Linked DNA regions of Callithrix jacchus. The protein of the gene in region 2 interacts with the protein of the main gene of each other region in a pairwise test. Links are inferred from orthologs where the notes say so. Each region holds a gene or a part of one and is shown on either strand. Other genes may lie near its edges.

Region 1 (3,042 bases), about 13 Mb from region 2:
TTGCCCTGGGGCTTGCGGAGGGAAGAGGGAGTCAGTTCTAGAGCACACCTGCTCTCCACCACCCATTCCTGCCACACCTTGTCCCTGCTCCCTCAGCACCTCCTTTCCCGCAGGAGGCACCCTGGTCTGGCAGGACAACACAGCTGTGAACTACTCCAACTGGGGCCCCCCTGGCCTGGGCCCCAGCATGCTGAGCCACAACAGCTGCTACTGGATCCAGAGCAACAGTGGGCTGTGGCGCCCTGGCGCTTGCACCAACATCACCATGGGTGTCATCTGCAAACTCCCTCGAGGTGAGCGCCAGGCAGCCCACACTTAATCTCCTTCCACCCCGTGCAGCTGGTCCTGGGCTGGGGCTGGGGGCTGCTTCACAATCTGCAGGGGACATAGACAGTGGGAAGGCCTGAACAGACCGGACCGGGGGCAGCTGGGACCTGTGGGATAAATTAGTCTGTGGGACAGACTGGCCCTGAAACTTACCATCCAAACTAGACCACAGAGCCCAGGGGTCAGCAACCCCCTGTCACTTTGTAGTGGTCAATGTCATGGATGGAGTTCAAGTCCTGGCCACACCACTTATCAACGGTGTGACTTTGGGCAGATTCTGTGGCCTTAGTTTCCTCATATGTAAAATGGGAATAATAGTCCTGGGCCAGGCGTGGTGGCTCACACCTGTAATTCCAGCACTTTGGGAGGCTGAGGTAGGTGGATCACTTGAGGTCAGGAGTTCAAGACCAGCCTGGCCAACATGATGAAACCCCGTCTCCACCAAAAAGTACAAAAATTAGTTGGGCGTGGTAGCAAATGCCTGTAGTCCCAGCTACTTGAGAGGCTGAGGCATGAGAATCACTTGAAACCTGGAGGCAGAGGCTGTGATGAGCCGAGATCGCACCACTGTACTCCAGCCTGGGCAACAGAGCGAGACCCTGTCTCAAAAAAGTCCCGACCTCCTAGCGTGCTAGTGAAAATGAGGTAAGTTAGGGGCTGAGACCCAGGCAGTGCTTTGTATGTTTGCTGAAGTGATTATTACGGTGCACTGCTGTTATTAACTGGCCCCTCCTCTTGCCCACAGCTCAGCAAAACAGCTTCTCCCCGTCAGGTGAGTCAAAGGCAATGCTCCCAGGTGGGCAGGCTGGAAGCACTGCTGGGCCTAACGCCGGCCTGGACCTTAATGCCACTCACCTTGGCAGCGCTTCCAGAGAACCCGGCGGCCCTGGTGGTAGTGTTGATGGCGGTGCTGCTGCTCCTGGCCTTGGTGACCGCAGCTCTCATCCTCTACCGGCGGCGCCAGAGCAGCGAGCGTGGGTCCTTTGAGGGGGCCCGCTACAGCCGCAGCAGCTCCAGCCCGGCCGAGGCCACTGAGAAGAATATCCTGGTGTCCGACATGGAAATGAATGAGCAGCAAGAATAGAGCCAGGGGCGTGGGCAGGGCCAGGGTGGGAGGAGCTGGGGAGCTGGGACCCTCAGTCGGCCGGGCCCCCCACCAGCTACCCGTCCAGTTGGCCTATGAAAGGGTGCCCTTAGTAGTCCCTGTTGGGAGCTGGGCAGGGCCTGGGCTGGTGGGGTGCCACCCTCCCACAACGGCTCAGCTGAAACTCAGCTGAGTGCAGCGTGGCGTTTCCTTTCTTGGGGGCCTGAGATCTTGTCACCTGGGCCTGAGCCCCACAGTAACCAGAGGTAGGATGGGAGGGGGAATGAGAGCCTCTTTGTCCCCATACCCCTGGCCCAGGCCTGTTGACCGTGCCCCAGGACCCCTTCTTTGCAGAGCCTGAGGAGCCTCCCCTGTCCCCTCGGGCAGCTCTGTCGCCTCTCTCTTCCCACCTGGCAGCCTCAGCAGCTCTGCGTCCCTCACCCTGCTCCCTCTCACCCCTTCTCCCCACCCCTTCCTTCTGAGCTGGGCCCTGGGGGTTGGGGAGCCCTCTTGTTCCTGGTGAGGGTCAGTTGAGGGGGCTGAGCATCCATCACTCTTGTGACTGCTGAGGTGGCCATGAGGACTGGCAGGAGAGTGGGGCCTGGTAGGTGGGTCAGACCTGAGAATCAGGGCACAGGTGTGCTATCTGCTGGGCTGGAGACAAGACTGGGGAGATACCCCAACCTCCCAGGTGGCAGCTGGGCTGGGCTGGGGTGTCATTTCCTGACGAGTGGGGGAGGGCTCTGCCCCTGAGAGTCCCCCGTGGGGACCAGAATAAGTTCCCTAATGTTTCCAGCTCCTGGCTCTGGTTTGGAGCAAGAGAGGGGTTGCCAGAGTCCTGGGGCCCCCAGAGGAGCGGGAGCACTGGATGACCCCGAGTTCCCACCTTCTAGTGGAGCCAGGAGGAGCAGCACCCGAGCCCTGGAGCGCCCCAGTGCCCTGCCAAGAGGCGCAGTCCCAGCCAGGACGAAGCATGCGGCCTCTCCTGGTGCAGCAGCGTGGGACAGTGTGAACAGACTCGAAGACAATGGCCCTTTCTCTGTAGTTGATTTTTTCAATGTGCCATTATTGGTTTTTTTTTTAAAGGAAAAAAGAAAGCAAACAAATAAAACACCTTTAAGAGGCTTGAAAGAGGTTCTGCCTTGTCCTGTTGTGAGCCTGGTTCTTAACACCCGTCCCTTCAGCAGTAACTGTCCTTTGGAGCTGGCACCACAGGTGTTTTCTGCACCCGGCCATTTTGCTTCTGTCTCTGGGCCTCTAGGGGGCACTCTCACCCTGGATCTTCTTCAGGAGCTCACCCCTCTGGGCCTGCGCTTCCCTTTCTCTATTCTCGTCCCTTCCTGGGGGCTTGAATGTGGATGAGAACTCAGGAGCCAGGCCATCTGCTGCTGAGCAGCTGGGCAAACTTGAGCAACTTAGCTCACCCTTCAAGCCATGTACAGTGGGGAGAACCAGACCCACCTCCTAGGGTATCTGAGGATCAAGGAGATCATCTGTGCAGAGCACTCAGAACAGTGCCTCTGGGATCCTTCGTGCTGGCATGACTGCTGTTTCTGGGCTGCCGCTCCAGGGGAGTGCTTGATGTGTCTGGGCCGGCACTGGGTGGGGGCTCCACATCACCATCCTTCCAA
Region 2 (3,500 bases):
GGTTTCTTTCTGAGAGGAGAATGGTTGACAAAATTTAACATGAGTTTAGGCACTTAGAATGAATGTGTGATTTAGTTGTTTTTAAAATAATTGTTACAAGAGTGTGGGTAAATTCCTTGGGTTCTACCCCCACTCTTTTAACTTGAGTTACATCTTTATTAAAGAGGAGTGTATATTAATGACATGTACTTTCCTATACTGATGCCTTTAGGAGAAGCTAGAGCATCAGTATGCACAGAGCTACAAGCAGGTCTCAGTGTTAGAAGACGATTTAAGTCAGACTCGAGCCATTAAGGAGCAATTGCATAAGTATGTGAGAGAGCTGGAGCAGGCCAATGACGACCTGGAGCGAGCCAAAAGGTAAACGAATGACTGCATTTTGTTAGAAAAAAATGAAGTTGATAATTAGTGATTAAAATCTTTATTGGGCTTTTCCCCTAGATCTTAGTCCCAGAACATTCCCTTTTGGTTTTTCATGTCACCTGTAACTCATCATACGGAAAAGAACCCCAAATTCTCATCTCCCAGATAATGCCCTTCACAGCTTTTCTCTTTCAATTTTTCTTTTTTCCTTCATATGCCATTGTTGATCTTACTGGTTTTGTTTTTGTTTTTTTTTTTTGAGATAGGGTCTTACTCTGTCACCCAGGCTGGAGTGCATGTATAGAGTGTGTTATTTATTTAATTCATGTACTCTAATTTTTCTTTTTAGGGCAATAATAGTTGCCCTAAAAAGTGGCATGATCTCGACTCACTGACACCTCTGCCTCCCAGGTTCAAGCAATTCTTGTGCCTCAGCCTTTTAAGTAGCTATGATTATAGGTGTGCACCACCACACCTGGCTAATTTTTGTATTTTCAGTAGAGACGGGGTTTTGCTATGTTGGCCAGGGTGGTCTTGAATTCCGGCATCAAGTGATCTGCCTGCCTCGGCCTCTCCAAGTGTTGGGATTACAGGCGTGAGCCACTGCACCTGGCCTGGGTTGTTTTTTTCTAAACTGTCTCATGCCTTCCTCCATCTTCTGTCGGTGTTCTTAACACTTCCGTACTTCCTGTAGGTCCTCACATCTTATACCTGCTTTCTGTAGTTATCTTCTAGCTGATCTATCTTATATTTCTATTCTTTTTCTTCTCATGTTTTAATACTGACTGATGAATTTTCTTAAAATGTTGATTCAGTTCAAATTTTCTGAGCAGCCTACAGTGGCTTGCTATTACTCTTGCCAGACTTTCATGCATCTGTTATTATTTGTTTCTTTTTTTTTTTTTTTGAGACGGAGTTTCGCTGTTGTTACCCAAACTGGAGTGCAATGGCACGATCTCGGCTCACTGCAACCTCCGCCTTGTGGGTTCAAGCAATTCTCCTGCCTCAGCCTCCCGAGTAGCTGGGACTACAGGCGCGCACCACCATGCCCAGCTAATTTTTGTATTTTTAGTAGAGACGGGGTTTCACATTGTTGACCAGGATGGTCTCGATCTCTTGACCTCATGATCCACCCGCCTTGGCCTCCCAAAGTGCTGGGATTATAGGCGTGAGCCACCGTGCCCGGCCACTTTTCTTAATCATTCCAAACTTAGTTCCTATTACTTTATAGTTGTTTCCTGGTATTTTCTTCCTATTTATGCAGTGAGTCTTAAGTTACTGATGTGATGTTAAATGTACAGATGCAGAGCTAGTCAGGTCACTAACCTTGGGGGTGACACATAGGTACATTCACTGTGTTAATAGCCTAGTAAAAAGAAGTGGGCAAACTGCTCAAGGGCATAGAGGAGGCAACAGCCAGAGCACCTGGGGGAATTTGAGAAGCCATTGCTGAGTCTGCAAGGAAGAGTATACGTTAACTGGGTGCAAAGGCAGAAAGGCAGGAAAGTGCTTGAGGTATTCATATTTGACCTTTTTTTTTTTTTTTTTTTTCCTGAGATGGGAGTTGTGCTCTGTTGCCCAGGATGGAGTGTAGTGGCTCCGCTTGCACTCACTGCAACCTCTGCCCACTGGGTTCAAGCGATTCTCATGCCTCAGCCTCCCTAGTAGCTGGGTTTACAGGTGTGTGCCACTCTGCCTGGCTAATTTTTGTATTTTTGGTAGAGATGGGGTTTTGCCATGTTGGTCAAGCTGGTCTCGAACTCCAGACCTCAAGTGATTTGCCCACCTCGGCCTCAAAGTGCTGGGATTACAGGTGTGAGCCACTGCCCCTCGCCCATATTTCACATTGATTGATGTGTATAGTGATAGCGTGGCTGAAGGAGATGAGCCTGGAAGGTGGTTGGGGCCAGACTGTGAACAACCTAGTAGGCTATGTTTGAAAGTCACTGTCTAGGCAATGGAGAACTCATTAATTTTGTTTTTTAAACAAAGGAGTAATATCAGATTTTGATTGGAGAAGATAGTAATGAGGAATTGGAAGTAGACAGGAGATGTGAAGACCATTTAGGAGTATCCAGGTGGTGAATGAAGCATTCAGGCAGAAGATTGGAGGAGGTTGGGACAGAAGGTTGAAGAAGAAATGGATATGAGAGACATTTTGGCAATTGGTAGGAATTGATAAAATTAGATGTGGCTTTAAATTCCAACTTGAGGTGAAGGAATTTTATTTCTATAGCAGATTGCACATAGTGTGAGACATAGAATAGGTGCATGTTAATGTTGAATGAGTGTCTGAGAAGTCCAGGAAGAAAAGGGTTGGTGGGAGGTAAATGGAGTGGGACAGTTACTGGTGGAGGGTCTTGACTGCAAGTCATTCAGGTTCTTGACATTTTGAACAAAGATTTGTACAAAACACACAGCAAAGCAAGGAAGGAATGAAGCAACAAAAGCAGAGGTTTATTGAAAATGGAAATACACTCCCCAGGGTGGGAGCGGGCCCAAGCAGCAGCTCAGGGGCACTGGTTATGGGATCTTTTGGTGTCCAGATACTCTCTAGAGGTTTTCCATTGGCCACTTGGTGTATACCCCATGCAAATGAAGTAGTGGCCCGTGATCAGTCTAATTAATTGGTTAATTGGTTGCAGAGGGCAACCAATCAGAGGCTGAAGTGAAGTTATAAAGTAACACCCTATGCAAATGTCTGATTGGTTGCAGAAAACAACGAGTAGCCTCTGGTGCTTTCCTTAATTGTGTTTGGAAAGTTCGGATTTTCCTTTTGATTTAGTTCTACGAAGTCAGTGTGAGTTGGCCTTAAGTTTCCTGACTTGGCACTTAATGTTTTAAACTCTCATATATATATATATATATACATGACAAGTGTTGAAAAGTTTTCTTTCTGAAAATGTGTGAACTTGATTTTGTATTGTGTTCAAAATACAGTGTTAGATATAAATAGCGTAACAACTAGCCTATCTGTAGGGAACATTATGGAATAGATGGGAATTTAAGGGAATATATTGAATATATTGCCCAAATGATAGAGACACTACGTGCCATCAGTGGTCAGGAAGGGACAAGAACGTTTTCTTTGGATGGGGCCAGCCTGGCTAGGTCAGGAAATGTCACGAGATAAATGA
Region 3 (3,500 bases), on a different chromosome or scaffold from region 2:
AGAAGAATTTTTGTGAAAGAAAAACAATAGTTGCCTGGTACAGTGATCTTGCTAGAGTGATGGAAGGGTTCTGTCATATTGATATATGGGTTATATAGGTGTGTGCTGTTCTCAAAATTACTGAATTTCACTTAAAATCTGTACATTAGCAACTTGATGAAAATTATACCTCTATTTTTAAAGATTACATTATCTTTGGGAACTGTTGAAAATTTGAATTCATAACCTAATTCACAACATTTTAAATTTTAATTAAATTTTAATGGACAGTTTTTAAATTAGCTCTAAATTACTTTGTTACAATGACTTATTTTTTATCTAGTCTCTATATTCATTTCCTCTCTGAATATTAAGATTTTGAGTAATGATACATAAAATTGAAAGAACAATGAGTTTTAAATGAGAAGCCTTTGGCTGGGCACAGTGGCTGACGCCTGTAATCCCAGCACTTTGGGAGGCCAAGGTGGATAGATCACTTGAGGTCGGGAGTTTGAGACCACATGGCCAACAGGGTGAAACCGCATCTCTACTAAAAGTACGAAAATTAGCCAGGCGTGGTGGCAGGTGCTTGTAATCCCAGCTATTCAGGAGACTGAGGCAGGAGAATGATTTGAATCTGGGTGGCAGAGGTTGCATAGTGCCAGGATTGCACCAGTGTACTCCAGCCTGGGTGACAGAGTGAGACTACATCTCAAAAAAATAAAAATAAAATGAAAGGGACTTGAGTTTTATTCTCAGCTCCCCTTCTTAATAACTGCATATTTTTATAGCCTTTCTAAACCTAGAATAAAGACCTTGTGGGAAATTAATGTAAAATAGAGAGTAGAAATGGTGTCACTCATCTATTGTTATGGTGTTAAAAGTAAAAACAAAACAAAACCCAGAAAACTAGGATCATAGGGTACCCATTAGATTGCTTGCGAAACTTGATGTCACATTCTGTCTTGGCATCTTTTTAGTCTCACTTCACTGTTTTCTAACTCAGTGGTGGCAGTATTAATTGTTGAGTCATAGGATTTCTTAAGTTGTGCATCAGATGTTGAATTATAAAACATTTCTACTCTTCCCTGAATACAAAGGTAGGGTTAATTAGAAATTTATTTTAGGGATCTCCTAGGATAAACTAGTGACTCAAAATAGTTTAATAATTCAATATAAGTACAACAGTAAATTTAAGCCGAAGAGAAAGAGTTATTAAGTTAAATCTGGCAAATGTGGTCATGGATGATGAGTAAGTTGTTAATAGCAATCCAAGGATATAGCTTATCCAGGATTTTCTAGTGTGATGGTAATCTACTTTAAGAGAGCCAACTGAGAACTAAAAAATCCCGAATAAGATATATCCATTAAATTAATAATATGTCAAATCTTTGTGCTTTACATAGACAGCTCTGTGAAATTTCTAAATTGGTTATAGATAGCTGTAAAAAGAATTGTTAGTAATTAGAAACATACCTAAATCCACTTACCTGGGGGCATTTTCACTACAAACGATAGGATTTGACATTACAGAATACATTGTAGGAGCATGCCACATAAGCAGAGTATGCTTTATATTTCTAGGAGGAAAGATTTGCATTTTAAAAAGCACAAATTATACATATTATTCATCACATTTAAAAATAAATTGCCTCTCATATTCATCAGACCAGCCCAGAGTCAAATTGTGAGAAATATAACAGTGGTGATTTTTTTTCTCCTCATCAAAATATTTTAAATAAAACTTTAGGTGAAAAAAAATTATGAAGCTCTCAAACAGAGACAGGATGAGGAAAGGATGGTACAGAGCTCTCCTCCAACATCTGGTGAAGACAACAGATGGGAACGAGAAAGTCAAGAAACGACTAGAGAACTTCTGAAAGTTAAAGACAGATTAATTGAAGTAGAAAGAAATGTAAGTATTTTTTAATTTTAGTAGGAATCTTTTTTTTTTTTTTTAGAAATAGAGGATAACTGGATATATTTGGATATATTTATCTTAGATACATTTTCTAATATTTAAACAATTCATCACACTTAATAAGAAAATTCTAGTCACATAGGCCTTTTTCTATTTATTCCTACCTCAGGGGACTTTGTTTTTGCTTCTTCTGCCTGAAACACATGACTGGCTTCCCTTAGCATTTGGGTAGCATATCATATGCCCTGCAGAAGGTCTTCCCTGACTTCTTCCCCCAGTAAAGTTGTTATCCTCAACTTAAACTGTTCACTATTGTTCCATTTCTTAGTTTTTTTTAATAGCAGTTTTCACAGTTAAATTATATTTTGTATTCATTTAAGAAAGTAGGTAATTTGTCTTTCTTTTTCACCATCTTTACTATCTAGATTAGTGCCTGGTAGGTATTAGACACTTAACAAATATTTGCTAAGTTAGTTCAATATATACTTGATAGTAAACAACAAGCAAACAAACTGAACAACAAGTATTTACCCTTCATAAGTTGAGTAAACTTAAGGAACTTACACAATAACAAGTAAAATATTTGTGGTGGTAGTTACTATTTTTTAATTTAACACAAGAATAGTACCTTTTAAAAAAAACTAAGCTAAAACCAAAAATTAATCCCCACACCCATTGATTACTACTTTCTTATTCAAAAAGAATCACTATAAACAGTTTATCTTCCTAGAAAATGTTTTTGTCATTTCTCTGTATGTAAAAGTATATTTCTTCGACAAATTTATACCTGTGGGATCATGCTATACAAAATTCCTGTTTGTATTTTCAGTTAATGTTATCTTGGAGATCTCTCTATTTTAGCAGATGTATGTATATTTCATTTTGTGTAATGACTACCTATTATTCTGTAGTATGTTACCATAATTTACTTAAATAAATCCCACATTTCTGGACGTTTAGGTTATTTTGAAACTTGTTCATAGAATGCTAAATTTCTGACAGTGAAATTGCAAGGCCAAAGGATATATATACGTGTGTGTGTGTGTGTGTGTGTGTGTGTAATTTTAATTGATTTTTCTATTAGTATTTAAAAATCCCATCAATTTTCTTTTCTTTTTTTTTTTCCCCTTTTCTGAGACAGGGTCTCACTTGTCTCCCAGGCTGGAATGCAGTGGTGAGATCATAGCTCACAGGAGCCTCATCGTTCTAGGCTCAAGTGATCCTCTCACCTCAGCCTTCCAAGTACCTGGAAGCACAGGTGCACACCACCACACCCAGGAGACTTTTGAATGTTTTGTAGAGATGGGAGTCTCACTGTGTTGCCCAGACTGGTCTCCAACTCCTGGCCTCAAGTGATCTGCTCTCCTTAGCCTCCCAAAGTACTGGGATTACAGGTGTGAGTCACCACACCCAGCCTAAAAATCATGTCAATTTTCAGTCTCACTAATAGAGTATACCTGTCTTTCCAGATGAACACTGGATATTACCTAGTGTTTAATTTTTGTTAAAGCAATAGGAGAAAATAATTTGTACATTTAAAATTGTGTGTTAGGCATTACATATCTTTCACATATTTATTGGCCATTTATAAATGCCTATT
Region 4 (3,500 bases), on a different chromosome or scaffold from region 2:
AGTAAGATAATTGGCTTCAAGGAACCCACAGCCTCATTTGAAGTTGAAACAGTCACACAATTCATTACAATCCTGTATCATAGGGAGAGAAATGTGTTTAAAGATGCCACATGAATGCAGATGAAGGCACACAATAAAATCAGTCAGTTTTTGTTTATCCCTGATAAACACAACATGTATTCGGGAGCTGTGGGGATCAGCAAAAGCAAAAGATGCATGCTCTCTGTCTTTTAAGAAGACTCTAAAGTGGTTAGAGAAATAAGAGGAAAACATACATGAAATAACTATTACAAAATTTAAGTACAAGTTCACATTGACATGTATCATAGGACAAGTTCTAGTGGACTTTTCAAATATTAATACCTTTTTAAATTTTTCAATAGTTTTTTGGGTACAGGTGGTGCTCATTACATGGATAAATTATTTAGTGATGTTTTCTGAGATTTTGGTGCACCTGTCACCTGAGCAGTATACACTGTACCCAATGTGTAGTCTTTTATCCCCCACCCCCTTTCTACCCTTTCTCCCAAGGCCCCAAATCCATTATATCACTCTTATCCGCTGCCACTTATAAGTGAGAACATACAATATTTTCTTTTCCATTCCTGAGTTATTTCACTTAGAATAGCAGTCTCTAGTTCCATCCAATTTGCTGCACAAGCCATTATTGCTTGCTTTTTAATGGCTGAGTAGTATTCCATGGTGTATATATACCACATTTTCTTGACCCATTTGTTGGTTGATGGGCATTTACGTTGATTCCATATTTTGCAGTTGTGAATTGTGCTGCTATAGACATGCATGTGCAAGTGTCTTTTTCATGCAATGACATCTTTTCCTTTGGGCAGATACCCAGTAGGGGGACTGCTGGATCAAATGGTAGTTCTACTTTTAGTTCTTTAAGGAATTTCCATACTGTTTTCCATAGTGGTTGTACTAGTTTTCATTCCCACCAGCAGTGTAGAAGAGTTCCCTTTTCATTACATCCATGCTAACATCTGTTGTGTTTTGATTTTTAAATTATGGTCATTCTTGCAGGAGTAAGGTGGTATCTCATTGTGCTTTTAATTTGCATTTCCATGATAATTAGTAATGATGAGCATTTTTTTCATTTGTTTGAAGCATATCAAAAAATTTTCATATGCCATTTCTATATCTTCTATTGAGAATTGTCTCTTCATGTCCTTAGGCCACTTTTTTGATGGAATTATTTTTTTTCTTGCTGATTTGTTTGAGTTCTTTGTAGATTCCGGATATTAGTCCTTTGTCGAAAGCAGTTTGCAAATATCTTCTCCCATCTGTCTGTTAACTCCGTTGATTATTTATTTTGCTGTGCAGGAGCTTTTTAATTTAATTAGGTCCCATTTACTTATTTTTGGTTTTGTTGCATTTGCTTTTATGTTCTTGGTCATGAACTCTTTGCCTAAGCCAACGTCTACAAGAGATTTTCCAGTGTTACCTTCTAGCATTTTTATGGTTTCAGGACTCAGATTTAAGTCTTTAATCCATCTTGAATAGATTTTTGTATAAAGTGAGAGATGAGGATCCAGCTTCATTCTTTTACATGTGGCTTGCCAGTTATTCCAGCACCATTTGTTGAATGTCCTTTCCACACTTTATGTTTCTGTTTGCTTTGTCAAAGATCAGTTGGCTCTAAGTATTTGGCTTTATTTCTGGCTTCTCTATTCTGTTCCATTGGTCTATGTGTCTTTTTCATTTTCTATAGCCTAATTATGGAAGTGATGTATCTACTTTTTTAATACTTGTTAGTACAAAAAAAAAAGCCAAACTCAAACTTATAACCTAGAAGTTATATACATAGTAGAAATGTACATTTAAAATAATTTATTTCTCTTTTTAAAATAGTAGTATTATTTATGTATTGAAAAAAACTTGGAAAGCACAGTTTGTTTATTTATTTATGTTTTTTAAATAGAGAAAGGGTCTCATTATATTTTCCAGACTGGTCTCAAATTCGTGGGCTTAAGTGCTCCTCCTGGCTCGGCCGTCCAAAGTGCTGGGATTACAGACATGAGCTACTGTGCCTGGCCCTAGTTCACTATTAATACTGTTATAGAAAAATAGCTCCTATTAACGTTTTTCCTCAGGTTTCTTATGTAGTGTTTCTTTTTTCTTTTCTTTTCTTTTCTTTCTTTTTTTTTTTTTTTTTTTTTTTTGGTGATATTATAGTTTTTGGTTGGTTGCTTGGTTTTTGGAGACAGGGTCTCTCTGTTACACAGGCTGGAGTATAGTGGTATGATCTCTGCCCACTGCAGCCTCTGCCTCCCAGTTCAAGTGATTCTTGTGCATCAGCCTCCTGAGTAGCTGGGACTACAGGCACAGGCATACGCCACTACACCTGGCTAATTTTTGTATTTTTAGTAGAGACGAGGTTTCACCATGTTGGCCAGGCTGGTCTTGAACTCCTGACCTTAAGTGATCCATCTGCGTTGGCCTCCCAAAGTGCTTGGATTACAGGTGTGCGCCACCACGCCTGACCAATAATATTATGTATTCTTTATATAAATAAGTATACTGATTTTTCACATATGCTATTAATGTAATTATTTTCTTGTTATTATACATGCTTCATAGATATGTGTTGTAATGAATAATAGTCTTTGCAGGTGTGTTTTAGTTAATCATATTCCTATTCTTAGGATATTGAGGCTTTTTAGTTTTTCATTTACATGTAGTACTGTCATAACGCTCTCTGTAGAAAGTGTTTTTCATTTTCAAAGTAATATCTTTTAAGATGTATTCCTACACATGGAATTACTGAATTGAGGAAGGTGAAATGTTTTTAAGTTCCTGACCTTTCTGCCAAATTACATTCTGAAAAGATTTTCCAGGTGCTGAGCACAGAATATCCTCTTCTCAAACAGTTTTAAAAATTTGTTATTAGGGAAGTTAATCTTTCCATGTGTTGTTAACCAGCTGTGTTTCTTTTTAAGAATGTTCTTTACCAAAAACATATTGGGATCTTGGGATTAAGAAACAACCTTTTTAATCAAGCGTTCTTTTTTTTCATTTTGTAGCCAAAGAAACTCTCCCCGATTTGGTTTCCATCATTCCTGACACAGTCCCGAGTACTGACCTTCTCATTGAAACTACAGCCTCTGCCTGTTACACATTGAACAACATAATCCAAAACAGTTACCAGAATGCACGGGACCTTCTAAACACTGGGGGCATCCAGAAAATTATGACCATCAGTGCAGGCGATGCGTAAGTCTGTCAGCTGCCTCCCTGTTCCCTCACCACCCTGAATGTAAATAACCCAGTTGTGAAGGTGCAGTCATCAGCATCATGTGCAACATGGCAGCAAACAGGATGTAAAGCCAGATAATCTGGTCAGCCCTCAGTGATCAGCCAAAAGAAGAACCGAATCCATCACGCCACATGCTTGTCCCTTTTCTTCTCAAGTATCACGAGAGGGTCAAACTCCAGAGCCTCTCTTGGTAGTGTATTGTATTGGCCTAATGAATAAGTTTCCCAGA
Region 5 (4,246 bases), on a different chromosome or scaffold from region 2:
ATCTTGTTGCCTCCTCCATAGCATCCTAAATCTTACCTTCCTTTTTCACATTTATAAAAATAGTTTCCTACAGTTGTCTCCCAAAAGCAGAGTTGTCCCCATGCTATAATATACATTGACCACTCAGATTCATTTAAAAAGTACATCTTGCTTTTATCCCCAATATAACCACATTTCAGAAGTTAGATTATAGCCAGCTAGATTATATAGAGCACACACACACACACACACACACACACAAATGTGTAGATTACTTATTTCCTTAAGTTGTTTCTCAATACCTCATGCACCTGATCACACCTTGTAATCTGGGCAGAAGGTAAGGGAGGCGATGTCAGGTACAAATTTAATATTGGATCTATTTTCTACATAGAAATGGTCCTACATTCTATCAGAATGGGTTAAAAAAAGATACGCACACACACACGGAATTAAATACACTACATTTGCTGTATTGCCTTCTATAGGCATAAATATACAGGAGTGGGGATAAAGAAGGGGATGAATGGGAAAGAGTTCAGAACTCAGTGTTAACCTGAAAGGAAATGAGGCAGTGCAAGGGGAGAGAGGATCAAGGGAAAATAAATTATGTAGGCAACAGAAGCATGCATCAGAAGTCTTTTCGATCCCTAAACTGGCAAATTTTCTCCAGGGGACCATCAGTCAAATGATGTCAAATTGGTAGCTGGTTCTGCTTGTAATGCCTGTATTGTATAGGACCTTCTGTGTAGGAAGACAAGTTCCACTCTCAGACACAGTCGCAGTGCTTCCATTATCTTACAGAATTGATTGCTGCAAATGGTTCCTGGGAGGTGTGACCTGCTTAAAGGAAAGAACCAGGTTTCTTTTCTTCTTACTGAGGAAGGAAGACACTTGTCAACATGTGAATTGGATGGGTGAGAAGGAGAAGCGGAGAAAAAATCTGGTAATTCCTTCTCTTAGAGGAGGAAAAGAAAGAAGGTAGCATTGGAACCTTGGACAGGAGAAATACAGTGCATTTATTTCCAGCATCCCCGCAGTCACTTCGCTTCTCTTTAGACTCCCCCCTATTCTTTAGTCTTGACCTGCCAATGCACTTGGACTCCAGGTAAGCACCGGGATAGACTGGGGGTAAAAGGCCAGGTCAGCGCGGTGGGATACTACGTTCCCTAAAATGAAAACTCAGCAGCGGGCGAGCAGTAGGTGTACGCGCGTCGATGCAAGAGGATGCGTGCGTGAAAGCCGGCGGACGCAGTGGGCCGGGCGCCGCCCTCCCAGCCCACCCCACTCCGCGTTCTATAAAGGCCGCGCTGGGGCCCGCCCTCCTCACAGCCCGGGAGCGCGGCCTGCCGGGGAGGTGGTTCCAGTGCTCCCCACACAGTCACACTCCGCGCACTCACACACTTGGAAGCGCCTCCCCACGTCCCTCCCCTGCCCTCCTCTTGCTCTGCTCTCTTCTCCCTCACCACAAATAGTCGCCGACCTACTGCCAATCTGCCTCTCTCTCTCTCTCAACATGACTGACTGGGAAGCGCTGGCTCGGGCAGAGCAGCTCCGTTGGCGCAGGCAGGAGGAGCAGGAGGATTATTAAATAACGCAGCTCGACTCTGTGCCACTGAGAGTGGAGAGAAGGAGCCCTACGGCCGAGAAAGGGAGGGAGGGCAGAGGAGGGGGACCAGGAAGGACACCCCGGTGCCCCGAAGACATAAATCCCTGAGTGCCCGGGAGGAGCCTTAACAAGCGGCACGGAGCCCTCAAGGTAGTAACGCCCGTGGTGCCTCAGCGCCCAGCGGGTCGCGCGTCGCGTCGCCGCTGTGCGGGGCTGGCCGCAGGCGGACGTGAGGACGACCGCCTGGCAGGTGACTGCGCCGTGCCGGGGCCGCCCGGGAGCAGCGCGCGCCCAGGCCCGGAGCGCCGGCTGCGGGCCCGGCGTGCTCGGCGCAGAGACCTGGCCTTGCGGGCGGGGTGGGAAGGAGGCGGGCGGGTTCACTCGCTACCGGCCCGCGACCCCCGGTGCGCTGCGTGGCCATTTCCTCCGCGCTTCTGCGTGGTTTGCTTCCTGCGACGGTGGCGGCCGCTCCAGGGCGATGCGGAGCGGTGGCCAACGAGGCGACAGTTGGCGCAGGCTTCTGGTCGCTCCTCTCCCTCGCCACTCACGTCCCGCAGGTAGGGGCGGCCGGCCACTGCTGACGCCCGGGCTGCGGGTGCTGAGGCGGGGACGGCGGCGAAGAGGGGGAAGGGAAGGAGGGGGCGGGGAGCCCGGGTCTCCTGTAGGAACCGCAGTGCCCGGCCGGGTCCGCCTCTTGCCTCCGCCTGCTAGTCCTCTGGCGCTGGTTTCTTGGATTGGAAGCAAGACCCTGCCCAGAGGCAACAGTAACAGCAGCGACTTAGAGTGAACCAATTGCTTTGTGGTGGCGTGTGTGTGTGTGTGTGTGTGTGTGTGTGTTCGCGCGCGCGCGCGCGCGCACGGTCCGGACTAACCAGTAGGTTGGTTCACCTGAGTAGAAAGTCAACCCTGAGCTGAAACCGCATGTGGCCCTCTGGCTGGCCCCTTCGACTTTTGGCTTGTGTCCCAGGGACTCCTACACACGGTGCCAGCAAGGGGTAAGGGTGACGGAGGGTTTTGTGAATGGTGCTTCTCCACCCGTGGAGTTTGAGCCTTCCTGATGTAGAGGAGGAGGTATCCAGAGTGAGAAGAAAGGCTATTTATGGCAAAGAGTTGTGAAATTTCTTGGGGTTTCCTTTAGTGTATCCCCAGCTGCTCTCTTTCTCTCTCTCTCCTCTGTCTGTCTCAGAATTAGAAGCAATTATGCTTCCCCCTCCTCTTGTGGGACCTGGAATATGAAATGAAGTAAAAAAAAAAAAAAAAAAAAAAAAAACCACTTATATTTTTACAGGTAGAAGAAAAATACTTCTTAGAAGTTACATATTCTTTGCTCTTTTATGTTTTTATGTCCTCTACTCCACTCCTCTTACCTTTTGAGGCAGTCAGTAGGACTTACAAGTCAGAAAATACCTACTTGGTTTCAACAGTTTTCATTTCTGAAATCTTTACAGTCGAATACCTTCCTATTGAAATGTAACACATATCCTCCATTCTCTGCCCCCCAAAGGCTATTAAAAATAATGTGTACACGTTTAACGTAAAGGTGTTTTTATTAAAAGCCTCAGGGAGAACAGAGGCATGGACACCTTCGTGGGGGTCAGTTATCACTGGTTCCTTCAAAACCGGTTGTTAAGGGAAGACCTAAAATACTTTGAGTCTAGTCTATAACATAATTTGTTTTGGTTTCTCTGTTTGCTTTGTAACAGGTACATGTTCCAGATATGTAACTTGAAACTTAGAGATGACTTGGGGCAGTGCCTGTCACGGTGCTTATAAAATGAATGTTTTCTCTTAAAAGTAGCAACCTGTACTTTTAGAGGACCGTGACTGGGTTTGATAGGACAGTGTCCTTAATATTTCAAACTGAGATAACTAAGAGCGTGCTAGCACAACGTTTTCAAACATTGAAATTCCATGTTGTAACCACACGTTCAATAGTTTCACTGAAGAAAGAAGTAAATTGGTCAACCTATTGTTAGAGTGACTTGTCTTCATTTAATCAATCATTTTGATCAAACAAACCAACTGTTGTTTGTATTGTTTTTTCAGCGTGAACATAGCTTTCCTTAAGAACTGGTTCATTTGAAAAACAAAGCAGAGTTAAGGATTTGATATTTATATTTTGTTACATTTATATTGATTTGAAATACACTTTAAACACAGAAGCATGTGCGCAGCTTTAAATATTAGGTTAGAACTCAGATGGGGAACCACACTCTGAGGGTTATTACCTCAACTATCCCAAACTATGGGAACATAAATATAATAGGGAACTTAAAAATGTAATTGATGAACTGTATTACTGCAATCATTAAAAGTCCGATTTATGAGTATTTCGTTTTTTGACAGTCAAGAGAATCAGCAGCTGTTTATTATTTTAACGATACATTATTTATACCATCAAATGTTAAATTAGATAAAACTAAAAGTAGAAAATGAAAAATTTATTACATTTTTACCATAATAGTTATTCAACCCTTTATTGCATTTTACTACTCATCATAATGCTCATAATAAAGTGCCTACTGTGTGCAAGGTACTACTGTCTAGGCATTGGAAAGGAACAGGAGATTCCTTGTTCCCTGTCCTTCGGAACTTACTTGCCATGTGGGAGGAATATGATGTTCATGCTTGAACATAGAGTTAACAACCCATAACAAT
Region 6 (4,162 bases), on a different chromosome or scaffold from region 2:
TCATTCCTTCAACAAATATTTATTGAGCATCTTTCATGAGCTAGCTCAGCCTAACACCCCACTGTAAAGCATGCCATTTTCTATTCAATGTTAGGTAACATTCGTTATGAGAAGACAGTTGCTATATCTGAAAATTCTTTTTGAATATGGATGTGGGTATGCACACATGTTTAATACTTTAATACCAATTAACCAGAACTGGGCAACATAATCAACACCCAACCTCCAAACACCTGGAAATCAGACACCCTACTTAATCAAGAGCTACTAATCTAAAACTTCACATTAAGGAAAACACTATAGATTGAAAGACACATAAACTTTCAAATTACAGCCATATGTGGTAATCAAACATGCATGGAAGACCATATAATTCTTGCAACCAGTTTTGCTATCCAAGGGGACAGGTTAATCTATCAGCCCATAAATTCATCAACCTGGCATTTCCAAAATGACTAATGCTATATATACACTAACACCATAAATTTCCCCCAAATTCTATGACATGGGTATTATTATTAATATTCCAATTTTTAAAATTTACAAACTGAGGGTTGGTTAAGTATAGCCCTAGAAAACAATACCCTTTATTTTTTAAGTCCTTACCATTAGCCATTTATTCAAGGGCACTTAGAAGGCAATGGAGCTAAAACTTGAGCCTAAGTTTGATTCATGAATTCAAGCATTTCTAAAAGATAAAAATAAATTTGTAGTATTATAGCTTATACATTAACATCTAGTTTCTTCTTATAATTAGCATCATATGGTCGTGTGAATCTTGTTTTAATTCATGTAAGTATAAATTGTCTCTAAGCCCCTAACCATTCTTAATTGCACTTTTCTTAGTTCCTGGTTATTACATACCACCTGTTCCTGTCTTTCCCGGGATGTTTGTTGGAGAGTGAAAATTAACTGTCTTGGTAATGAAATCTACCATTTAAAGAGTACTTTGTTTGTGCCATACACTGGGATAAGTATTTCACTTATATTTTCTCACTGAGCCCTTACAGCAACCCTCTGAATTGGTACTACTATTATCCTCATCACCTCCTTTTTTCTTATTATACTTTAATTTCTGGGGTAAATGTGCAGATCACACAGGATTGTTACATAGGTATACACATGCCATGGTGGTTTGCTGCATCCATCTCCCATCATCTACATTAGGTATTTGTCCTAATATTATCCCTCCCCAATCCCCCCACCCCCTGCTATCCCTCCCCTAGCTCTCCCACCCCCCACAACAGGCCCCAGTGATCATCACCGCCCCCCCTTTTTTTTTTAAACAAAGGAAGGAAAGCAGGTACAGAGAGGTAAAGCAATTTGCCTGAGGTCACACAGATAAGGAGGATTTACACCTGGTGGTCTCTTCTCCCTTCTCCCAGTCCGTGATCGTCAACAGTATGAAGTTCTGGTTCCCTTCTTAACACCCTCATCTCAAGTCTGGGCTCCCACTGGCCTGTTTCTCCGTGCTAGTGAGAAACTGCTTTTAGTGTGTGCTGGTTTGGTTTCCTCCATCTTTGATTTCTCCCCTGATAAGGGCCGTGGTTCACCTGCTCTTTGCAGCACTCTGCTTTCACCTGGTATTGATCTCCCAGCACACTAAGACTATTCCTGATAGAGATGAATTCACCTTGGTCTGTGTAGCAAGGCTTCCCCAGGGCCATCTTTCCCATCAGGAGTTTGATCTCATTCTTGCCAAAACCTCTTAAAGAAGCCAAAGCTTTTTAAAATAACATTCAACATTTTAAAAAATCAATTACCAAAACAGTTCACAGAACATCTGGATTTGTGTCACATTATCAGGAGACTTTAATTGCATTAATACCTGATGGTAAAATGTATTAAGGTCAGATTAACCTGAGGGATAAAACTGATTTTCTCTTTTCTTTCCACTAACTGCAAATTCTATACCAGCTCTTTCTACAGATAATCAACAAAGGAAGTAACCTTAGGATAGGTGGGTGTTAATAGTTCCATGATGCTAAGAGGTGCGCAGGGAGGAACTCAGCATTTACTAAGCACCTATTGTGTGCACCAGACATGATGCTATATATTTTACATGTATGAATTAAACAATAGCTCCAGAGCAACCCTAGCACATAGGTTTTACCATGCCCATTTTACAGATGGGTAAACAAGCTCAGAAAAATCACGTAAATCAGACTAAAGTCAGTGGCAGAGCTGAGACTTGAGCCTGAGTCTGTTTGCCCCCAGCTTCTGGCTGCAGGAACCATTTCTCCGTCTGCATTGCTTCTTAGAGAGTTCTATCAAAAGCCCTGCAAGAATGGGCTTAACTTGTACTTGACTACAGTACTGAGCTTGATGAGAAACCCATCAAGAAATGAGATCCTCTTATACAGATGCTGCCCCAAATGAACCCTGTGCTCCCAATTCCCAGCTGGGTCATACATGTCCCCAGAAAAATAGTCTTTCTTTACTTTCCATGGGTTTGCTACTTGCCTCTGTTTCATTCCTTCTCTCTCTTCTTGGCTCTCCCCTCCCCTCTCTGTTGTGTCTTTCTGCATGTCTCTTTACGTCTCTGTGTGTATCCATCTCTCTCAGTCTCTCTTTCACACAAGCATACACACACTCAGGATACCTCGATCCAGCAGCCGGAGCAAGCGGAGATACCAGAGATACCACTGGTCCCAGAAGCGGTCCGTCATCCCACCCTGAACTCATCCTTCACAGCCAGTCCCCTCGGCAGAGCCTCATCCCACCACCGCGGACTCGTGGAGGCCGGAATCACTTGACGCTGGGCTAGCACACAGCCTGCTCTAAGCAAATGCCTGCCTGCAAAGACAGCTACAAGTCCTCCCACACAGAGGCTGACTGTGCCGGGAGCCGGTTTCACAGCAACAAAGGAACAAGTGCAGAACAACGCCGTGTGCAGACCGAGCCTGCCTGGACTCAAGGGGAGGTCGGAGATGCGTGGGAGGGAGTCAGGAAGGGCTTTCGCAAAGACGCTAGGTTTGCAGTGGTCTTAAGAATGAAAATCCACAATCAAGTCCATCTCTTAAATTTTATTCCAGTATCTCCTGCCATTCTGGCTTCCATGATTCCCACACCAGAGGCCAGTGGCTCCTCCAATAGAATGTGGGATGGGAAGCCAAAAGCTCAGCCATTTTGGACTTTGAGGCCAGTCCCGAAGCCTGGGAGCCTTACTGCCTCACTGTCGGTCCAAGGGCTCTCTCCTTGCCCGAGACTGTAGGGCCCACATGACCAGAAAAATGCCACAGATCCTTTTTTCCTATGTTCCTTCATGGAACCTCTGTTACAGTAGAGACAGCATGGGCTCTAAAGTCACACAGTCACAGGAGCAAATCCTGGTTGCCACTTAATACTTGCCTGGCCTGAATCAAGTTATTCAGTTCCCTGTGCCTCAGCTTTCTCCTCAGTAAACCAGAGAGAACAGTATTTGTAAGCCTCAAAGCAAAATAAGAATATAATGTTTCTGGTGTTGCACCTGGTAGATAGTGGCAGATAGAAGGTTCTCCCTTACCTCTCAACCCCTCTCCCTCTTGCCAGACTCTCAGTTCCCCATATGTTCATACATCCCATGATTTTCTATTGCCAGGCCTTTGCTCCTGCCCTTCCTGCCAGTAGTATGCTCTCCCCACTCTCTCACCTCATCATGGCCAAATCCTCCTGATTTTTCCAACAAATAACTCAAAATGCCACAGAATCGAGGCAGACTTCCTGATCTTGCTTTATATTTTATTTTTTCATTCCACTTCTCATTTGTATATAACTCTTCTCCCTTACTTGCCCATAAACTCCATGAAGGTAGGATCTGCTTTTTAATCATCTTTGTGTCCCTCAAAGAACCCTGAACTTTGCAATTACTCAAGTGGTTACTAACTGGACAAATGAACATGCAAGGGAGTCTGAGTCTGTTGTTTTCAGGGAAAGGAGAAGAGTAAGCTGCAGAGACCTCAGCCTGGGGGCATTGTCTAAGGGGCTTTGGGGGATGACAGGGTGTCCAGTCCTTACCCTGCTCACAGCCCCTCTTACAGTGGGCCAGTCTGTGACCCATGTGACTGGAAGTGCTGTTCACAGAAATGAAACCTGAGGAGTCCCCAGGTCTAGGACGACCTTGTTCTCCAAGCCTAAAAACTACTCAACAGCCACCTGCACATTCATCACAGCTCTGTGCAGC
Region 7 (3,500 bases), on a different chromosome or scaffold from region 2:
TTTAGATTATTATAATTAGGTTTTCCTGTTGGTGAAGATTGCTAAATATACAAATGAGAGCCTATGGGAATTATGGGGCATCATCTTTCTTGGCAACTCTTCTCTACCTGAGCAGTTAAGCCTGGGTGCCAACAGAGAAGAACGGAATGGTTCTCTTCTTGTTTCTGTGGATCAGCCGTTGTACTGCTCACTGGACCAGAACTGTTCTGCCTTAGTAGAGGGTTAATTTTTCATGGAATGATCAACTGAGTTCTGTCCTCTTGCCGACAGTATGAGGTAACGCGTTCTGAAGCAACCCAGATGTCACCATCTGATCTAACTATATTTGGTTTGCAGAAGGAGCTGCTGAAATGTAAACAAGAAGCCAGAAACTTACAAGGGATAAAGGTAAAAAAGGAAGGCGTTTAATTCTTTAAATAAAGTCTCTGCAACATAAAGTAGTCTATTGGTGAGTGGTGAGAGTTGGAATTTTCTGTGGACCTTTAATAGCTCTGTGCTATTGGTAAAGAAAGGGCTTTGTGGGAGGGAAGTGAGACATATCGAGGAATATACCTTTGTTTTGCTGTGGCTTATTTCTAGTAGTTATGACTCATGGTGCTGCCATTTCCATGTGTGCCACCTTGATTGTCTCTACATGTAAAGGAATCCTCTTCAATGTGAAAGAACGTCTTTTAAAAAATTATAATTTACTTAACACTGAAATTTCCCTTGACATGATCAGTTAAAAAAATAAAATAAATAAAAAAATTATAATTTACTTTGTTTTTGAGTAGTTAACTAACATTTGAGTCATTTAAAGGTATAAAAAAATAAACCATGCATGAAGTTTGCCTGCCAGCCCTGTCCCCTCGGTTACCTAGTTCTCTTTCCTAAAGGCATCTTTTTTTTTTTTTTTTTTAGAGACAGAGTCTCACTCTGTCTCCCAGGCTGGAGTGCAGTGGCGTGATCTTGGCTTACTGCAACCTCCACCTCCCAGGTTCAAGCAATTCTCCTGCCTCAGCCTCCCCAGTAGCTGGGATTATAGGTGTTCACCATTATACCTGGCTAATTTTTGTATTTTGAGTAGAGATGGGGTTTCACCATGTTAGCCAGGCTGGTCTTGAACTCCTGACTTCAGGCGATCCACCCACCTTAGCCTCCCAAAGTGCTGGGATTACAGATGTGAGCCGCCACACCCAGCCTCCTAGAGGCATCTTAACAGTTATGAGCACATCGGTGTGTATATCATTTTCCCCCATGGTTTTACTCTAATGGTTGTATACTATAAATATAACTTGATACCTTGCTTTTTTTCACTTAGTAGTGTATCTTTGAGCTCATTCTATGTCAGTAATACATAAAGACTTTCCTAGGTCTTTTTTATGGCTGCATAGTATTTCACTGTATACGTACATAATGTTGAATGATTTATTATATACGATAATTTCCAATCTTTTGCTAATATAAACAATGATCTAACAGCCTTGACTCTATGTTATTTCACCCAAACGAGAGTATATCTGTGGAATAATACCTGGAAGTAGAAGAGGATGTTTTTAAGCTGCTGCTTTTCCCCTCTTCCTTATGTATCCATTCATGGGCTAGACTAGAGTTATCACTCAGCAACATTTTCCAAAGTATATTCTGTAGGCTTCATACTTTGGAAACACTTCTAAAAACAAATGTGTTCCATGGTCAGATTAAGTTTGAGACATGCTCTGCAATCTTGAAGACTGAATAATAACATATTAAAGGATCTGAAAAGGTCTGTCAAAACGAGATTGGCCTAAAAATGACTTAGAATTACTAACCACAGAAGTATCTTTTCTTCCATGTAATGCCATGGGGCACAATAATGTCCCACGGAGCACACTTTGGGAAATATTCCTTTAAACTACTGATGCTACGGGTATCTTAGTACCTTTACCGTGTACTGTCCTGGGAGAGAGCATAATTAAGAACGGGCTCCCACATTCTTCAGAGTCTGTACCATTTCTTCGCAATCTGTAAAGAGAGAAAAGTCAGGACAAGTGTTATTAGAATGCAGTCCTAGTCCATTAGTTCCACTTGAAGCCACCATGGTCGATGGAATTTGTCATAACTGTCCTTATAAGTAAGCATATCCAGCTCATCTTTTGTTAGGCGTGATAGGAACCAAGAGAGTTCAAGCTGAGGGAAAGAAGGCCTAATGCTATTAAGAAGAGAAAAAATCAGGTTTCAGTAAGTTTCATAGAATGGTGGTTAGGATTTTGCTCTGGATGCTAGTTTCCTAGAGGGGGACAGAAAAAACCCTGCTCAGCAACTTGTGGCAAGACCCTTTTACTCCATTTGTCTTCCAGTCTGCCGTCATGAATGCTGGAAACACATTACAGTGTTTAGTAATTTTTAGCAGTAACTGGCTGATTGATGAATTGAGACAACAACAATTAATATGCTTTTTCCCATAGGATGCCTTGCAGCAGAGATTGACTCAGCAGGACACATCTGTTCTTCAGCTCAAACAGGAACTACTGAGGGCAAATATGGACAAAGATGAGCTGCACAACCAGAACGTGAGTTAAATGAATGAGCGTTGGCCTCAGTGAGCCCCATTAGCAGAACAGGTCGCTGCTTCAAGTGCTATTAGATCGGCCATCCTAATCTCTTTTCTTGCTCCTGGGATGTCTACCCTAAATGTCTACAGTTATTTTTATTCCCTGCTAGACTCATCTCTGTTCCTAGGTGAAAGCACACATCATACTGGGCAGGAAGATCCTTGATATCCTCTTCAACTTTGAGGACACTGAGATACAGAGGCAAAATTGTGGTTTTGCAGTCCAATTATTTCACTACAAATGTGGAGAGCAGCTGTGTATTTTTACCACCATGCCCTGTCTGTGCTACGTACTGTAACTGCCCACATTAACTGTGGTTAAACTAAGTAGCTGGTTTCCTTGAGGGTTAGCAGACAATACCTCCGTGCCGTGAATTCTTTCCTATCCTTGCAGGTGGATCTGCAGAGGAAGCTAGATGAGAGGAACCGGCTGTTGGGAGAATATAAAGTAAGAATGAATTTCAGGTTGGAAATGACTTCCACTGACCTTTCATGAACAGCCCGTTATTGTTGCTCAAAAAGCACTTAAGTATTCTAGTCTCATCCTTGCCTTTTAATTATTTTTTTCATCCTTGCTTTTTAGAAGGAAGTATTTTTTTGTGTCTCCTGATAGCCCTAAAGAATAAATGGCACAGCTAGGAAAGGGAGCACAGAATCAGGGGTCTGGAAACTTCAGTTCTAGTCTTACCTTTATCTCTGACTAGTATGAATGGCTCAGAGCGGTCCTCCTACAAATGGTAGTTCCCTTCCTCATTTCTATTGAGGAATCCTTTGCACTGTGTAAGACTATTATGGTGTGTAAAGTCTTCCTGGTACATTTTAAGGAAAGGACTTTTTTTCCCTAAGACTCTACTTTACTTGAGTGGAAATTATTTTGCAGAGGGTGAACTTTTCAGTGTTCCTGGTTTTGCCATTCATCTGAAAGCTC

What was found.
Region 1: the proteins of NDEL1 (region 2) and MRC2 interact in a two-hybrid assay, tested with the Homo sapiens proteins (2 studies listed by BioGRID and IntAct). The link is inferred for Callithrix jacchus from reciprocal best matches to the Homo sapiens genes NDEL1 and MRC2.
Region 3: the proteins of NDEL1 (region 2) and CCDC88A interact in a two-hybrid assay, tested with the Homo sapiens proteins (2 studies listed by BioGRID and IntAct). The link is inferred for Callithrix jacchus from reciprocal best matches to the Homo sapiens genes NDEL1 and CCDC88A.
Region 4: the proteins of NDEL1 (region 2) and PKP2 interact in binary tests that used the Homo sapiens proteins (3 or more experiments, as listed by UniProt). The link is inferred for Callithrix jacchus from reciprocal best matches to the Homo sapiens genes NDEL1 and PKP2.
Region 5: the proteins of NDEL1 (region 2) and CCSER1 interact in binary tests that used the Homo sapiens proteins (3 or more experiments, as listed by UniProt). The link is inferred for Callithrix jacchus from reciprocal best matches to the Homo sapiens genes NDEL1 and CCSER1.
Region 6: the proteins of NDEL1 (region 2) and KALRN interact in a two-hybrid assay, tested with the Homo sapiens proteins (2 studies listed by BioGRID and IntAct). The link is inferred for Callithrix jacchus from reciprocal best matches to the Homo sapiens genes NDEL1 and KALRN.
Region 7: the proteins of NDEL1 (region 2) and DIXDC1 interact in binary tests that used the Homo sapiens proteins (3 or more experiments, as listed by UniProt). The link is inferred for Callithrix jacchus from reciprocal best matches to the Homo sapiens genes NDEL1 and DIXDC1.

What each region holds. Positions count from the first base shown.
Region 1 is NC_133506.1:87,931,341-87,934,382, forward strand, and holds the end of MRC2 (C-type mannose receptor 2), read left to right. Parts: intron 1-113; coding exon 114-293; intron 294-1,072; coding exon 1,073-1,099; intron 1,100-1,190; coding exon 1,191-1,411; 3' UTR 1,412-2,542; downstream 2,543-3,042. UniProt on the Homo sapiens protein: May play a role as endocytotic lectin receptor displaying calcium-dependent lectin activity. Internalizes glycosylated ligands from the extracellular space for release in an endosomal compartment via clathrin-mediated endocytosis.
Region 2 is NC_133506.1:74,969,451-74,972,950, forward strand, and holds part of NDEL1 (nuclear distribution protein nudE-like 1), read left to right. Parts: intron 1-211; coding exon 212-360; intron 361-3,500. UniProt on the Homo sapiens protein: Required for organization of the cellular microtubule array and microtubule anchoring at the centrosome. May regulate microtubule organization at least in part by targeting the microtubule severing protein KATNA1 to the centrosome.
Region 3 is NC_133515.1:58,860,151-58,863,650, forward strand, and holds part of CCDC88A (girdin), read left to right. Parts: intron 1-1,729; coding exon 1,730-1,894; intron 1,895-3,500. UniProt on the Homo sapiens protein: Bifunctional modulator of guanine nucleotide-binding proteins (G proteins). Acts as a non-receptor guanine nucleotide exchange factor which binds to and activates guanine nucleotide-binding protein G(i) alpha subunits.
Region 4 is NC_133510.1:38,672,468-38,675,967, forward strand, and holds part of PKP2 (plakophilin-2), read left to right. Parts: intron 1-3,038; coding exon 3,039-3,228; intron 3,229-3,500. UniProt on the Homo sapiens protein: A component of desmosome cell-cell junctions which are required for positive regulation of cellular adhesion.
Region 5 is NC_133504.1:107,412,866-107,417,111, reverse strand, and holds the start of CCSER1 (serine-rich coiled-coil domain-containing protein 1), read left to right. Parts: upstream 1-1,446; 5' UTR 1,447-1,738; intron 1,739-4,246.
Region 6 is NC_133516.1:78,975,298-78,979,459, forward strand, and holds the start of KALRN (kalirin), read right to left. Parts: upstream 2,801-4,162; 5' UTR 2,670-2,800; coding exon of another isoform or gene 2,603-2,669; intron 1-2,602. UniProt on the Homo sapiens protein: Promotes the exchange of GDP by GTP. Activates specific Rho GTPase family members, thereby inducing various signaling mechanisms that regulate neuronal shape, growth, and plasticity, through their effects on the actin cytoskeleton.
Region 7 is NC_133511.1:11,701,484-11,704,983, forward strand, and holds part of DIXDC1 (dixin), read left to right. Parts: intron 1-336; coding exon 337-387; intron 388-2,426; coding exon 2,427-2,531; intron 2,532-2,966; coding exon 2,967-3,020; intron 3,021-3,500. UniProt on the Homo sapiens protein: Positive effector of the Wnt signaling pathway; activates WNT3A signaling via DVL2. Regulates JNK activation by AXIN1 and DVL2.